Linked DNA regions of Lepisosteus oculatus. The protein of the gene in region 3 purifies or fractionates together with the protein of the main gene of each other region. This does not show direct contact. Links are inferred from orthologs where the notes say so. Each region holds a gene or a part of one and is shown on either strand. Other genes may lie near its edges.

Region 1 (4,746 bases), on a different chromosome or scaffold from region 3:
TATTTTCATCCTTTAAGGCTTAACGGTGCCAACCACTAAGCCATATAAGGAAAGACACCATGCCTGTCGAAAATGATAGCAATCACGTCCCCTTACAGTATGTCCTATATCATTTTAGGCTTCAAGAATCCAACGGATTCTTAAAACACTTCAAGATGCTTCTTTAACTAATTCTGAAACTCTTGAGTTGTGGTAAATTAAAAATATCGTCCAGTCGAATATAAAAACATCAGCAAGGTTACGGACACAGGTCCCACTCAAGAAGAGTCGACACGCGTGACTCATTCCACACTGGAATTCAATCTCCGTCTTTCTGCAGCGCGTCTCCCTGCTAATGAACTGCACTCCCACAACATTCATCAGATCTCCTGGGCCAGCAGGACTGGAGCACCTTTCAGGCTCCGCACACCTGTGGGAGCATTCCGGTCTGTATACTGAATAACTTCTATTACAACGGCATCATCACAAAGACTCACGGAGACCGGAATACAAAAATAATGAGAAGGCTGGTCTCAGTTTTTGCATGGAAAATTCCTATTGCTTTCTTGGTAGACCGATTTTATTTCCTTCCGATTGTTTTGTTTATTATGAATTAAAAGAATAAAATGTTGATTCTAAAGATGAAAAAAGTATAATAAAAAAACTACACCGCCATATTTTGCATGTTTTGTCTCCAGAGCACATTACATATAGTGACACGGAAATAGGTAGCGAAAGCATGAGTTATGCAAAGGCTTTCGGTGGGAAGCAGTCGGAGCTACAGCAGCACTGGAGCAGCTGCAGAGACTGCAGAGATTGCCGAGGCGTAGAAACCCTGGAGCACAGCCCACCCTACACACACATACAGCAAGCAGTCATGGGAACTGAGCAGCACCAAGTCTCATTAAGTCGCTTAATTCACAGTTCTTACTCAATTCGAAAAAAAAACGTACTTCAAATAATTCGTGGTCCTTGTTTAACCGTATTCGTTGCGGAGTGAAATCAAAAGGCGAGCTGCAGACGTTTTCACCATCGCCACTGACTTGCTGTACCGCACTGGGCTCTTCTGCTATCCGCTGGACTGGCAGGACTGGTATCGCCTGAATGTCGGTGCTGCTGGTGCCTGCTGCTGTTAAAAACCGGATTAATTCGAGCGGCAACATGTCAGTTACAATATCGCAAGCACGCTGCTGTTACGTCATTTGTTGCGCTTCCTCGGCTACACTTCATGACGCAGGCGCGGCCCAGCTCAGGGTGTCTCCGTGGTCCTGCTGCTCCTGGGGTTAGAGGCGATGGAGACGGACACTTCCTATGTAACCGAAAAAACATTTGAGCAATTTTATTGCGTTTGCTCCAAAGGACTAATTTTGACTGAAATCTCAATTTATTTGCGACATCTGGAAGGCAATTGCACTTTTACAGCAACCTTGGAAGAGTGTAAAACGCTTCAGCAGTTTCAGTTATTGCCAAACAAAAACAAACATTAAATGATTACGTTGGGAACACATGCAGAAATACACATTTCATGTGTATCCAAAACCATTTTTACATGAAAAGAGGATCAGCCATTGACTGTGAAAGTCAAATGTTCTTACGGTTTGCTCCTTACAGTCTTGAGGCTGTGGACTGGAGGGTGTCGGGGAGGAACCTCTTTGGTGAGATACTGTTTCCCTGCAGTGGCGGAAGCTTTTACAGGGCGGAGCGAAGTGCAGTGTTTGTGTTTCGCGCTGCTAAGGGGCGGTAAGTCCATTTGGCTGACACATTTATTACTTGTATTTGTATTATAGTATGCTGGTCATTAACCGAAGATAAAGACGAATTATTAATTACTGGTTTATTTGTGTATCCGATGTGCTGGTGTTCTCAGCATCTTTGCTGTTTGTGTGTAACTCACTCTAGATGCTAGCGGTCTAGTTTGTGGTCGAATACAGTATAAACATCGTTGGACCGAGACAACAAATAAGTACACATTTCTTTTAACGATCTAGAGTGTCCTAAAGGTAGGTTACTGACAAAATCTGTTACTAGTGTACATGCATCATCTGTGTATTTGCCCACTGTTGGAGAAATAATTCGCAAGCAGGATGTTTGTACAGTACTGCTGTATCCGTACCCGTTCAGCTCTTGTAACTTTGTATGATTCTCCTCAAAGTAGTGTCTTCTTCCCGTAATTTATGCTCCTGGTACATTTCAAAGTGACAACCACGTCTAGTCTGCATCAAAACTACTGTCAAAAAATCCCTTTATACACCTTTTCCATCTATTAAAAAGCCACCAGACCTTTTATACATTTTTATTTCCTTATTATTGTAAAGCATGGTTATTCGGAAGTCTCCCTCTCCCCTTCTAGAGAGTAGCCATGAGCGAGTTCCGGATTCACCACGACGTGAACGAGCTGCTCAGCTTGCTGCATGTCCGCGGAGGAGATGGAGCCGAGGTGTACATCGACCTGCTGCAGAAGAACAGAACTCCCTACGTCACCACAACAGTGTCCGCGCACAGCGCCAAGGTGGGGATCGGGGGTAATATCGGCCACTGTGGAGCAGACTGCTGTCACATGTTTCGGTTTCTTCACTCTGTCCTACCGACGTTTAAAGTTCTGGATTTAAGACTGGCACCGTTCTCTTGACATGCAAAGGCTTTTTATGTTTTCTAACCCACGTTCCTTCCAATGAAAGGGAGACCAGGTGCAAATCAAGGTGTTTTTCTTACTCGTTTTCTCATTGTCAAGCTTTGTGCTTGTAGTTTATCAGCTGAATCTAACATTTCATCCAGTCATTTCTTGAAGGAGAACAAAGTTTGATCCTCAACCACTTAGCTAGGAAGCCTGCTCCAGAAACCACCATTCTTCATTTAAAGGATGTTTTAATCCTAAACATATTCCCTTTTGGTCCTTGTCTCTTAATTAAAGCTGAACAATATTTGCTGTAGCAAGCATTGTACTGTATGTGCTTTTTCATTGCTTCCCCACAGCCAATAAAGAGAATGCTACATAAACACATCTGTCTCTTCCATATCCATATGTTCTTGCAGGTCACAGTCACCCATAGTATTATGATACTGTATGTGTAGTGTGTGTTCCTCTGTGGATCAGATTGCACTGTTGACATAAACTTCATGTGCAATCACGTGATTCCTTGTCCTTGATTTCATCCGTGTGTCTTTGTAGTTCAGTAGCTGAAGTTCTGTGTGGGGCGCCTCTCCTATGTTTGCGTTTTCTGGAAATCTAATTAGTTTCTGAAATATAGCAGAATCTAAATTAGCTGATATAGGAAAGAGAAACTGGCCTAAAGATAAATAGAAACTTTACTTTACTTTTGTGTTAACTTTTGTCTTTACTGCTTGTTCAGCAAGTTCCAGTAAGTTATCTTCCCTTTCTAAATCCATGTTGGCTATCTCTTCAAAGTACCATTGTTTTGCATCAGTCTTGTTTTTTCTAAAAGAAATATTTAACCAGCCAATTATCGGTTGACTGAGAAAATGTTTCATTGCAGGTAAAAATAGCGGAATTTTCTAAGACACCAGAAGACTTCCTGAAGAAATACGATGAGCTCAAATCCAGGAATGTGCGAAACGTGGATCCTCTGGTCTACCTGCTGTCCAAGCTGACTGAAGATAAGGAGGTGATGGAAGTACCTGCAGATAATAAAAACACTTTGATGTGAGGGACGTGGCTGTAGCAGTCTTACAGTAAATGCGGGTATTTCATTGTTTTTTAGACCCTGCAGTGTCTACAGCAGAATGCCAAGGAAAGATCTGAGCAGTCAGCCAGTGCCTCCTCCAGCAGCACAAACTTCAGCATCCCTGCCACCAGCACAAAGATGTCCATGCAAGAGCTGGAGGAGCTAAGGAAGAAACTTGGGAATGTGGCAGCCAGCTCCAGTGTACAGCAGGTAAGCCCATATCCTCTTTAGGCTCCTCAGTCTCTTCTGTCTTCCTGTGATTAAGAAGTCAGAGACATTACACTGCTGTGTGTATTGAAGAGCCCTGGCAACAGAGAGCCCCAGTCTGTGATTGAAAGAAAGTGTTCACATGGGCTTATTAAACCAAAAGTTGGCTGAAATGTTGCCTCGAATTAGTAGCAGAAGCCATTTAAGCTTCCCAGGAGTATGGTTAGAGACCTTTTGTACAGTCGGGAATAACCTTTGTAGAATAATGTTGTGTCCCATGCTCTAACTTTGCACGGCACAAGCTTTAGCGTTAGGATTTCCTTTTGCATTTTTCTATGTTGATTGCTTTAAGTTTACTGGAGCAAAGTAAATACGTTTAGAAAGGCGGGACTCCACCCTTGTGTGTCCTGACTTCCTGTAGCCCTCCGAGGTGACGAGGAAGATGCTGAGGGACAGACACAATAAGAAGAGTCCCCTGCAGCCAATTCCAGTGTTTCCCAACTGGGTGTACGACAGGCCTGCTCTTCTTGGGGATTTTATCACCGGCTCCAGTGGGACTGACTCAGCAGTGCCTATTGGTAAGTCTTTCTAAGCTGCGATGTGCAATTCTCTGCACATCAGAAAAATGAGACCGAGTTTTAATTTTATCCACGCCGCATTGCTCAACGTTTACTATTACAGCATTACAGCAAGTGGAGTGGATGAACAGAATGGTTTATCAAACACATCTACAATTTGTAAAAAAAAGTTTGGTTTTCCTTTTTTGTGCATTTAAGAAAGATGAAATGTAGCATCAGTTTCTGTTGCTTCTCATTTGTGTGCTTATTTAGTTTCAATATTCTGTTTATTACTGCCCATCTCCAGGTACCCTGCCATT
Region 2 (4,746 bases), on a different chromosome or scaffold from region 3:
GGAATTATATTCAATTACATATTTTAGTAATGGATTTTGCATTCTGCTGAAATAGCATTTTTGCAAAAGATCCAATTTCATATACTACATTTTGCAGATGTGACCAAAACACATCTGCAAATCTGCTTGGCACTATAATACCAAGCAACTGCTTCATATAAAACTAAACAGTCATTCAGTTCAATTCCAAAATAAAGTTAAGAGTTGTGCAGCAGCAAAGAATTTCAATATCTTGTACAAACCTACAGAGTCCATACAGTGGTTTTACCTTTTCAAATCTGTAAATATTTAACATTTTTCAAGCACTTGCATGATTAACCTAATGCCTCAAATGCCTTGCTACAAAAGCAATACCACCAATACTGGAATAGAAGAGAGTATTCAAACTGAAAGGTAATGTAGCCTTATCTGTTCTGCGTTTCATGTATTATCGTTTTGTTTTCAATACGTTTCTCAAAAAACAAACCTGTGACTGAAGTTTCCTGTGAAGCTCAGAAAAAAGTGCTGCATCTGCTTCTCTTCTTTGCTTCACAACTGCAGAAATAAAGTGCCTGTTAAATCATGATAAACACCACAATCACATTAAATATTAAAATGACACTATGTGACATGAATATGGCGTAATCTCCCAAATGTAATTGTTTTTTCTTCCCAGAGATAAACATTTGCCATTAAGAAAACAATAAAAACCTTTCAGCCCAGAGAAGTGTTGTTTAATTAAGATATAGATGATCACAATATAAACTGAGGTTTTATGGAACCGTATAAATGGAAATCTTAAGGGATACTGTTTCTGACACATACAGAAATCAAGTTTTCAGAACTTATAACTAGATGCACGAACTAAAAAAACTAAAAAATTACATACAGCATACTATTAAGGGCTTAATATTAATACTGCAATATTAATTAACACTTCTGAAAAAACATGCAACATCAAAAGGTTTTATTTTAAACAAACTCACGTTCCTTCTTGATCTTTTCACCTACAAGAAACTCATCCCGTTCAATTGTAGGAGCATAATTACTTCCAATGACTCGCACAGCATACTGGAACTGGTGGGCGACATCGGCTGAAAAAAGCAGAAGATAATTTTAATGACAATAACTACAATCCAACAGATCCCGAGATTACAGGCCACCACAGCAAACTGAGATATCACACAGGTGGATAATGTCACAGAGATTTTCAGGCCTTAAAGAAAAGAAAATTCTTAAGCTCTTAAACTCAGCTTTCAACCTCAACATCCTGCCATAAGAAGGAACCAAATTGTGTGTGCTTTGTGACAACAAGACTGTGACTCCCAGCAAATCTGAATCATGAACAAGTGGGTCTCTGCTGTGATGCCATCATGTAAGTATAAAGACACTAAAAATGGAGAATGTCACTGAGCCCTACAGACAAAGGGGACCAGAGAAGAATGAGAACAACAAGCAACCAAATGTCTCAGATTTAGGCCAATGTAAATCACAATGCACCATATTCCTCTTTCACCACATGAATAAAGACCTTGGTGTTACAGCTGAAGAACTTCCTTAACAACAGTCTGCCAAGAATACAAAGAATCAAAAAGCAGCAAAGGCCTTCATGAGGAATAATACCTTCTTTGGCAGCCAGTGAGACTGTTCTAAATGCAGTCTATTCATTCTTCCCTAAAACACCTGAAGTTACAATGTATTAAAAAGTACATGAATAAAGGGTCCTGCAATTTCAGTTAGAAACGACTCTTCACAGTTACAGCTTCAGGCACATTCTGGATTTTGGTATACAAGAATCAGTTGCTTTTTAAGACTAGAGATAAATACAAAAAAATCATTCCTGTGTTATTTAAACGTGAACTGTCTTCACCCCCATCTGTTCACCTTCAGTTGCAGGGAGTCCAGATAAACCACTAAGATTCCCCACTGAGAGGCTGGGTAGGGAATGAGAACGCTTGAAGCCATGAACTTCCCCCCTTGACCTCGGCCAATTTCCAGATCACAAACTCCCTAAAAGCTCACAAACAGTAGGATTTACCAACCTATTAAGGTCCGTGCTCATACTTTTAGTTTTGCATCTGACAAAAATTCTGGGATCATATTGTGCCAATTAAGATGCAGCTCATAATATCCGATATCGGTTATAAAGCGCTATTAAAGGCAGTATATAAGATAAATAGCACACTGGCACAGGAGATTACAAAACTATACGCTTGTGAACTGGAGTCTTTCAAATAAAAGCACTTCTTCATCACATTACAATAGCAGCTCAAGGACAAAGGACTTTTTTTGCTTCTTTGCCAAAGAAATATATCCCTACTTTCTTCCATCTTTATCGACCTACCAATCATGTCATAATTTCATCAGGGCCAATTCTCCAGCCAGTACATTCACTACAAATAGAAATGGTAAATGAGTCTTCCCCCAACTAGCAAGATAAAAAAACTCGCCTGCTGCCGGCCATCGTGAATTAAAACCGCGTAATTATTATAGTTGTTTTTATCAAATAAAATGTGTCTAACGATACCAGACATCTGCTCAAGAGATGAACACTGGCCTGTTCTGCAGATTTCAACAGTCAGAGAAAGAGGGGACTGTTAGCGAGGAAAGGCGCTTTATTCACTACTCCGTCAAAAAAAACTCCTGCTTCCAACGTGGAAAGACGATCATTTAGGCGTCGCCTTATTGATTTGTTTTCTGCCAATATGCTTACTGTAAAAACATCTACTGACTCATTCTCTGTGCTCATGCAGTATGATGTTGAACTATGATGGAACAAGCACGTTACTTAAAATATTCCCCTTGCCGCTGTTACCTTCGCTCTTCCCAGTTATCCTGCAACAGAGACTTTGTAGCAAGACGTTGGGCGATTTTTGATCCAAGCCTGCCATATCAGGGATCTGTCTGACACGGCTCCGGGTCGCTGTCCAAATCTACCTGCAGCCGTTATTTTTGCCGTGGCTTTCCGCTCTTAGCAACGGCGCCATTTTCGCTAAACCCGCCGACAGCGCTCTTCACTGTGTTATCTATGGAGGTGTCCCATAATCCTCCGAAAGGCAAGGGAGAATCGAACAAAAATACTGCCCTCCGAAGAACGAGAAACGCAAGAGTGGTTCCTAGCATGACATCAGTTCCTACCTTTTCTGTTTTAGGCGTGCGTTGGGGTTTATCACTTAAGAAAACGAAGATAATTCAATTTTCACGACTGCACTTGCCTTGCACGATCGTTCTTTTCTTCGACACGTCAAATATCGTTTGGGGGAGTTTCGAAAGGTGAAGATTGTAGATGAAAAGCGTTTATATGGTCTTTAAGAACATTTTGTTCACAAACGTGTCGCACCTGATGAAAACTGGTTATATTCCTAATCTGGCAAAAAGGTCTGAAATACAATAGATCCCATAAACTGCATTTATCTTCTTTATTTCCACTAGTGTTTTTGCTGTTTGCAATTAAAATAGTAATATCATCAAATTTAATATATAATCTGCATATTATCAATATTCTGAATTAGAATTGACGTGTTAACGACCTGTTCTTGTATATTACTCATTGTACTTGTGTGATAAATATAAATCAATATTATTTTGATTATTTGATTTCAATATTAGTTGTATGTATTAATAAGGAACAGAACGTAGAATCCAAAATATAAACATACAAAGTACATTGAAAGTGTTATTTATGCATTCAGTTGTTAATATTTTATTACGAATGACTAGTGTTTGTGGAATATTTGTAATAAAAGATGAAAAAACAGCAATGTAACAAAATTCAATGATTTCCATTTTTTTAAAAGAAAATCGTATGCTAGCTGTCAGGCAAGTAAGCAATCAAGTCAAAATTTATTACAAAAAACGAATTAATCCCAATAACAACGATATAATACTTTTGTTCTCTTGCTAGCTTCGGTTGCTTTCCACAGGGCGCAGAATAAATGAAAACTCTTGAAGACGTTTTAAGAGTTACTCCAGCATGTAAAGGATAAATAGGGAATATAAAGTAGTCTTTAAAAAAAATAACGTTATCTCTGCTGACAATTGTTTCCTTTGCTGCGTTAATTTTAACAGGAGACAAGGTCCATTAATAACTAATAATAATCAGGAAAAAGGTATTGATGTATTGATGATTACACTGTTCAGCAAGTGGTCCTCCATTAAGGATATGTTATAAGTTTGATCCATGGACGAGCTTCAGCCTGATTAAGTATTTATTTTTACACTCTTACGTTTGATTCGGCTGCCTCATTGTCACATGGTGTTAGATACACATCTCAGTTTAGAATGCCAAAGACGTATGTCCATGCCCTTGTTTGCGTTTAGCAACAAAGTGTGGAAGATGAGTTGGTAACCGATATGGTTTGGATGCGGCTCTTGAGTTATTTCTAAGTGGTTAACAATCGCTGAATTTGATTACATATCCTATACATACCCCACCCCCCAAGCCATATTCAAACCCTTCTGTTGTCTTACATGAGCAAGAACACTATGCAGACTTTACTGATACAACCTGGTGCTGTCGATTAGTATAATTTTACATCTTTCTTGGATTTATTGCATTTTCGTGCACCTCTTCAAAAACCTCAGATGGTGTCAGCTTTGGTATTAACAAAACCCTGGATTTTGCTTTCTTTGTGATTATTTTGGTTTCGGGGCAGATCTTTTCCAGACAAGAATGCACTAACTTCAAGTTGTAGGATATTTTGTTTGTGTCCAGGACATGCACTTGGTACTGTACGTGTATGAATGAATCATTGCACAGCTGATTGA
Region 3 (4,746 bases):
AAAAAATACAGAAACCTAAATTTGTATAAAAATATTAAATGTATATTTTTAAATTGTTGTGCTGTCAATTTACACCGTAGGTCACAAAATGTGATACGTTATGCGGCTCCTCGTTCTTTTGACTTCTTTTTAAATTATTTTTTTTAAATACTTTGAAATCTCCCAGTTAGATTTCAACAATTAAAATGCGCTATTTGGCAAATATATGAGTCAGAAATTGAATTTAGCCATTGACAGCTAGTATTGATGGGGACGTTCAGGCTGAGGGCATTACTCTTATTCAGGGAACGATTTTTTACTTGCCAATATATACCCAAAGGTAAAAAAAAGCTCTGTGTTGAAATACCCTACTCTCATATGTGTACATCTCGATTCTTCCCCTGACTGCACGGTAGACACAAAGCACTGAGACATGAGAAATGTCAGCCTCAATGAAAGCTTTTAGATGTTTCTATAATTGTTCTGGCAATAGGTTGTTTTGTCAAGTCATACTTGACATATTGAACACTACTGTGATCTGTGATAAAAGTCAGAGAGCATTTGATTTAATTATTTAGCTGATTGCGTTTCTTAACTAGAGACGGAACAATACCTTTCCAGAGGCACGGCTCAGTGATAAATGCAAGTGGACATCACCATGATAGTGATAAACGCGTTACACTAAATTTCTCCATTTAATTTCAACGTCGTGCCTGCTGCTCTTGAAATATAATTACAGTTAGACAAAAGGAATGATTATATCCTGTTTTTATGAGAAATGGAAGTTATATTCGGGGCGAAGTTTATGATAGCTGGCTTTAAAACAAAGCAACACCTGGTGATCCTTTTTTTTTGTTGGCAGCTGAACTAAAATTCGTTTAGTGGAGTTTGACGCCCTCTACTGGACGGATTGGACGTCCAGATTCGGTTTATCGTCTAAAATCAGATGTCCAGATGTTATAATAATAATTACTCACACTTATATAGCGCTTTTCTGGACACTCCACTCAAAGCGCTTTACAGGTAATGGGGATCCCCTCCACCCCCACCAATGTGCAGCCCCACCTGGATGAATTATAGTTATACATTTTTACTTCAAGGTATAAAGGTATGTGTGCGGGTATTTGACGTTGTAGACCACAACCAAAATTGATCTTGAAATCTGTGCAAATGCGACTGATTTATTATGGTAGGATATGCCTCGGAATTATCCATGTTCAAATAATTCTCGTTCTGTCCTTTATCATTAATTAGTCTGAATCTTGTATCCAAAAAATCATCCAGGCGGGGCTGCACACTGGTGGTGGTGGAGGGGATCCCCATTACCTGTAAAGCGCTTTGAGTGGAGTGTCCAAAAAAGCGCTATATAAGTGTAAGCAATTATTATTATTATTATTATTATTATTATTATTATTATTATTATTATTATTTTATTGTTATTATTAAAAAGCGACATTCATCACTATACATTTGTAGAGCTAGGTATATAGTTTACTCTAGGGTACAACAGGAGTATTTTGGGATTTGACCCGACAACCTTTCTACAGATCTAGCGAGTCATTATCTGCTGTTCATCAGAAATTAGTCCAAATTGTGATAGATAAACGATCGCTGTAATTTTTATGTCAGTCTGTGTGACGATAAACAGTGGAGTAAAAAATGGACAACATTACCAACCATGAGTGGTAACATCGGAGTTATTTTAGTTCGACGAAACAACAACAAATTACTAGAAGCAGATTTAGCATAATTCATACAGAAAAATACATTATTTTATTCGTTTATTTTTGGGAAAAGCGGAAAGCGAACTGGAAAATAATCACACAATGACATTCAACTTCAAACATTCTTGACGTTGTCATTCAACATGCCTTTCGTTAAAAAGGTTATCATCTTATATTATTTAAAAATATGTGCATTGATTATTTAAAGTAATTTTGAAACAGGACCGTCCAGCAGCGGTTCACATGGCACACTCTCTGCATGAGGAACTGCGGTGCGCGATCGTGTTTCCACTCGGCTCGGAGTGTAGAGGAGCACAGATAGTTTCCACCCGAGAAACTTTCTGGGTGGGACCTGCGTCGTTACGGAATTGACAGCTGTGTTATCTTTAAGGTAAGAAACATATACTCTATTAAAATGCCAGCGGTGCTATATCTCAGCACGTTGGCTGAGTTAGTAAAGGTGATGCAGTGTGTTAGCCTTAGAGAGTTTGTTTTCCTTTTTGTAGACCGAGCGAGTTTCTTGGATTTGCATTGATGAAGCAGTTGTACTCGAGCCCTGTTTTCAATTCACACGGAGTTATTCAGAATCACTCTCATTGATTCGGAATTGGCGAGCGGGCAGGGACGAATATTTGACTGATTCTAAAAACAGGTGATGCAGAAAACGTCCCTGACTGGTGTGGGATCCGCTTTGACCACCAGTAATAAACGGGATTTTGTGCTGATCTCCGCGATCTGCCGTTCATGTTTGTGAACTAATACGAACGTCCGTAGAGCAAATTAGAAAACATGATTAAACATTATTCATTAGGGCTTTTGCAATAGCAAAGCACTGCGAATATGGGGTTAGAGAGGCATGATAAGCAAAGATACAAGACACAAGTCTTGTCTATAAGATATGATTTTTAATTAAACGAAACAAAAATACCTATTCTTTTTTGTATTGAAAGCTAACAAAGTACGGTATTTTCAGTGGCCTTTAGGCGTCCTGCGAGACGTTTTGATTCCTCTAGGCAGGGGGTGTAAATATGGTCAGGTTTTAGCTAATGCTTTGTGCAGGTGTCGATGTTTCTGCTCATACTCGTTAGTCTCAATCGACAACGTGCAGCACAGAAACCGGCAGCGACGGGGTCTCTCTGCCCTGCCAGGGAATGGCGCTCTCTCAGCAGGCCGCCGCGCTGGCGCCCAGCCTGGAGCCGCCCGCCCTGGTGGCCACGGTGAGTGGGAACGTCCAGAAGTACGCCCTGAAGAAAAAGAAGGTCCTCAGTGCGGAGGAGACGGACCTGTTCGAGCTGGCGCAGGCGGCCGGGATCACGGTGGACCAGGAGGTGTTCAAGTAAGGCCCAGCAGAGCACACACACTGGTTCTGTACTGCTTGCTTCCCCTGCTGGCCTTTCCAACATGATGAGCTTCAGCTCAGTCTATTTGTCATGTGCACAAGTGCACTGAAATGCTTATTTGCATGTGCACTCCGATACAGAGCGCATCAGGGTGAGCCAGCGGTAGGGGTAGAGTTCAGTAATCTGATAGCTTGTGGGACGAAACTGTCTCTGACTCTGGAATTCATCCAGCCATCTTCCAACCGCTTTTTCCAGTTCAGGGTCATGGGGGAGCCAGCGTCTGTCCCAGCAGGACACACACAGACACACACAGACACACACAGACACACACAGACACACACAGACACACCAGGGCCAGTTTCCCCAGAAGGCAGTGAATGTTTTTGGACTATGGGAGGAAACTGGAGCACCTGGAGGAATCCCAAACACAGGGAGAACATACAGAGCACACATAAAGCACCCTGGGTCTGGATTGCTGTCCGATCCAGCGATGCTAATCACTGCACCACTGAGCTGCCCTACTGAAACTCACTCACATGCAAAGCTGAATTAGAACTGCAGTGGAGGGGAGGGTATAATGGAGTTCTACATAAAATGGATTTGCAAAGATAAAGATTTTTGATCCTTTCTTAATGTGGGTTCTGAGAGCCATATAAAGGCCTCCACGCTGTTGGAAAGCATGTGGTTTATTCCAGAGGGGTGTTGTACACATTTGCAAACAGTTCCAGGGTTAAAGTCTATCTGAAATACAGCTCCCATCGGATGGCTGATCTGCGTGTTTCATAACCTTATAGTGTGAACAGAAGTGAACAGCATGCCCAAGAATGTGTATATATTCATTCAGTTTCTTTTGTGCTGATTCATAATGCATGGTGACTTTTGTGGAAGAACAATTGCTGATCCCCAAATTTTGGGGATACAGAAAGGAACAATTTTAACAATTTTTTAAAACAGAAGAAACCTGGAGTATGACCTAAAGCAATCTGCGACAGTGTTAATGTCTCTGTAAACTTTCATGCGGTCTGTCCTCAGGATCATTGTGGACCTGCTGAAGATGAATGTTGCTCCTCTGGCCGTCTTCCAGATGCTGAAGGCCATGTGTGCTGGACAGAGGATCGCTGACACCTCGGCTGGGGAGAGTTTGTCTGGGTCCCAGCACATTGCGGCCCCTGAGCCCAGAGGTTAGACAGTGGGGGCCAAACAGGTCATGGTCAGGCTTAGGGGCTCCATGCCTTCCTCTGTGAAAGTTTACATTAGTACCTATTATTGGCAGTGTTGCGCTTTTATTATGGTGTTCATCTGGTTGCACACAAACCTTTCCTGTAGCCCTGCCATGCTGTAGGTGTGTTTTATTATACTATGTAAAGAACGTGCCATAATGTACTGTAGCAAATGTTCGTAAGTGTGTGTAGCGTTCAGTTAGGGTCTAGCGTAATAGGGCAAAGTGACCTGATAAAAACGTAGAAAAACATTCACAATACCCAAGTGAATTAGTGCTGAACACCATAGTAAGTAAGCAATTATCATTCAGCTTTGCTATGGTGATCACTTGCTTTTCATTGCTACAAGCCTGGCTTCTAATCCTATGGAAAAATATCAGAAGACAAATCTTTAAATATATAACGTTATCCCACAGCATCTTGATGCCACCAAGACTTATATTTCTTCAGCCTGGGCTTAAGCTGGAAGGGCTTGAATTGCAC

The links.
Region 1: the proteins of mzt2b (region 3) and tubgcp2 purify together in Homo sapiens (affinity purification with mass spectrometry; 5 studies listed by BioGRID and IntAct, counting the BioPlex papers as one, with this or other methods). This does not show direct contact. The link is inferred for Lepisosteus oculatus from reciprocal best matches to the Homo sapiens genes MZT2B and TUBGCP2.
Region 2: the proteins of mzt2b (region 3) and tubgcp3 purify together in Homo sapiens (affinity purification with mass spectrometry; 3 studies listed by BioGRID and IntAct, counting the BioPlex papers as one, with this or other methods). This does not show direct contact. The link is inferred for Lepisosteus oculatus from reciprocal best matches to the Homo sapiens genes MZT2B and TUBGCP3.

The regions. Positions count from the first base shown.
Region 1 is NC_090699.1:17,553,875-17,558,620, forward strand, and holds the start of tubgcp2 (gamma-tubulin complex component 2), read left to right. Parts: upstream 1-1,569; 5' UTR 1,570-1,719; intron 1,720-2,329; 5' UTR 2,330-2,338; coding exon 2,339-2,488; intron 2,489-3,473; coding exon 3,474-3,602; intron 3,603-3,698; coding exon 3,699-3,872; intron 3,873-4,290; coding exon 4,291-4,447; intron 4,448-4,733; coding exon 4,734-4,746. Other genes in the region: znf511 (zinc finger protein 511), read right to left, coding at 933-1,142. UniProt on the Homo sapiens protein: Component of the gamma-tubulin ring complex (gTuRC) which mediates microtubule nucleation.
Region 2 is NC_090710.1:26,104,307-26,109,052, reverse strand, and holds the start of tubgcp3 (gamma-tubulin complex component 3), read right to left. Parts: upstream 3,017-4,746; 5' UTR 2,871-3,016; coding exon 2,795-2,870; intron 1,074-2,794; coding exon 966-1,073; intron 535-965; coding exon 467-534; intron 1-466. UniProt on the Homo sapiens protein: Component of the gamma-tubulin ring complex (gTuRC) which mediates microtubule nucleation.
Region 3 is NC_090717.1:14,237,225-14,241,970, reverse strand, and holds the start of mzt2b (mitotic-spindle organizing protein 2), read left to right. Parts: upstream 1-1,989; 5' UTR 1,990-2,094; intron 2,095-2,811; exon of another isoform or gene 2,812-2,851; 5' UTR 2,852-2,854; coding exon 2,855-3,039; intron 3,040-4,075; coding exon 4,076-4,224; intron 4,225-4,746. UniProt on the Homo sapiens protein: Required for the recruitment and the assembly of the gamma-tubulin ring complex (gTuRC) at the centrosome.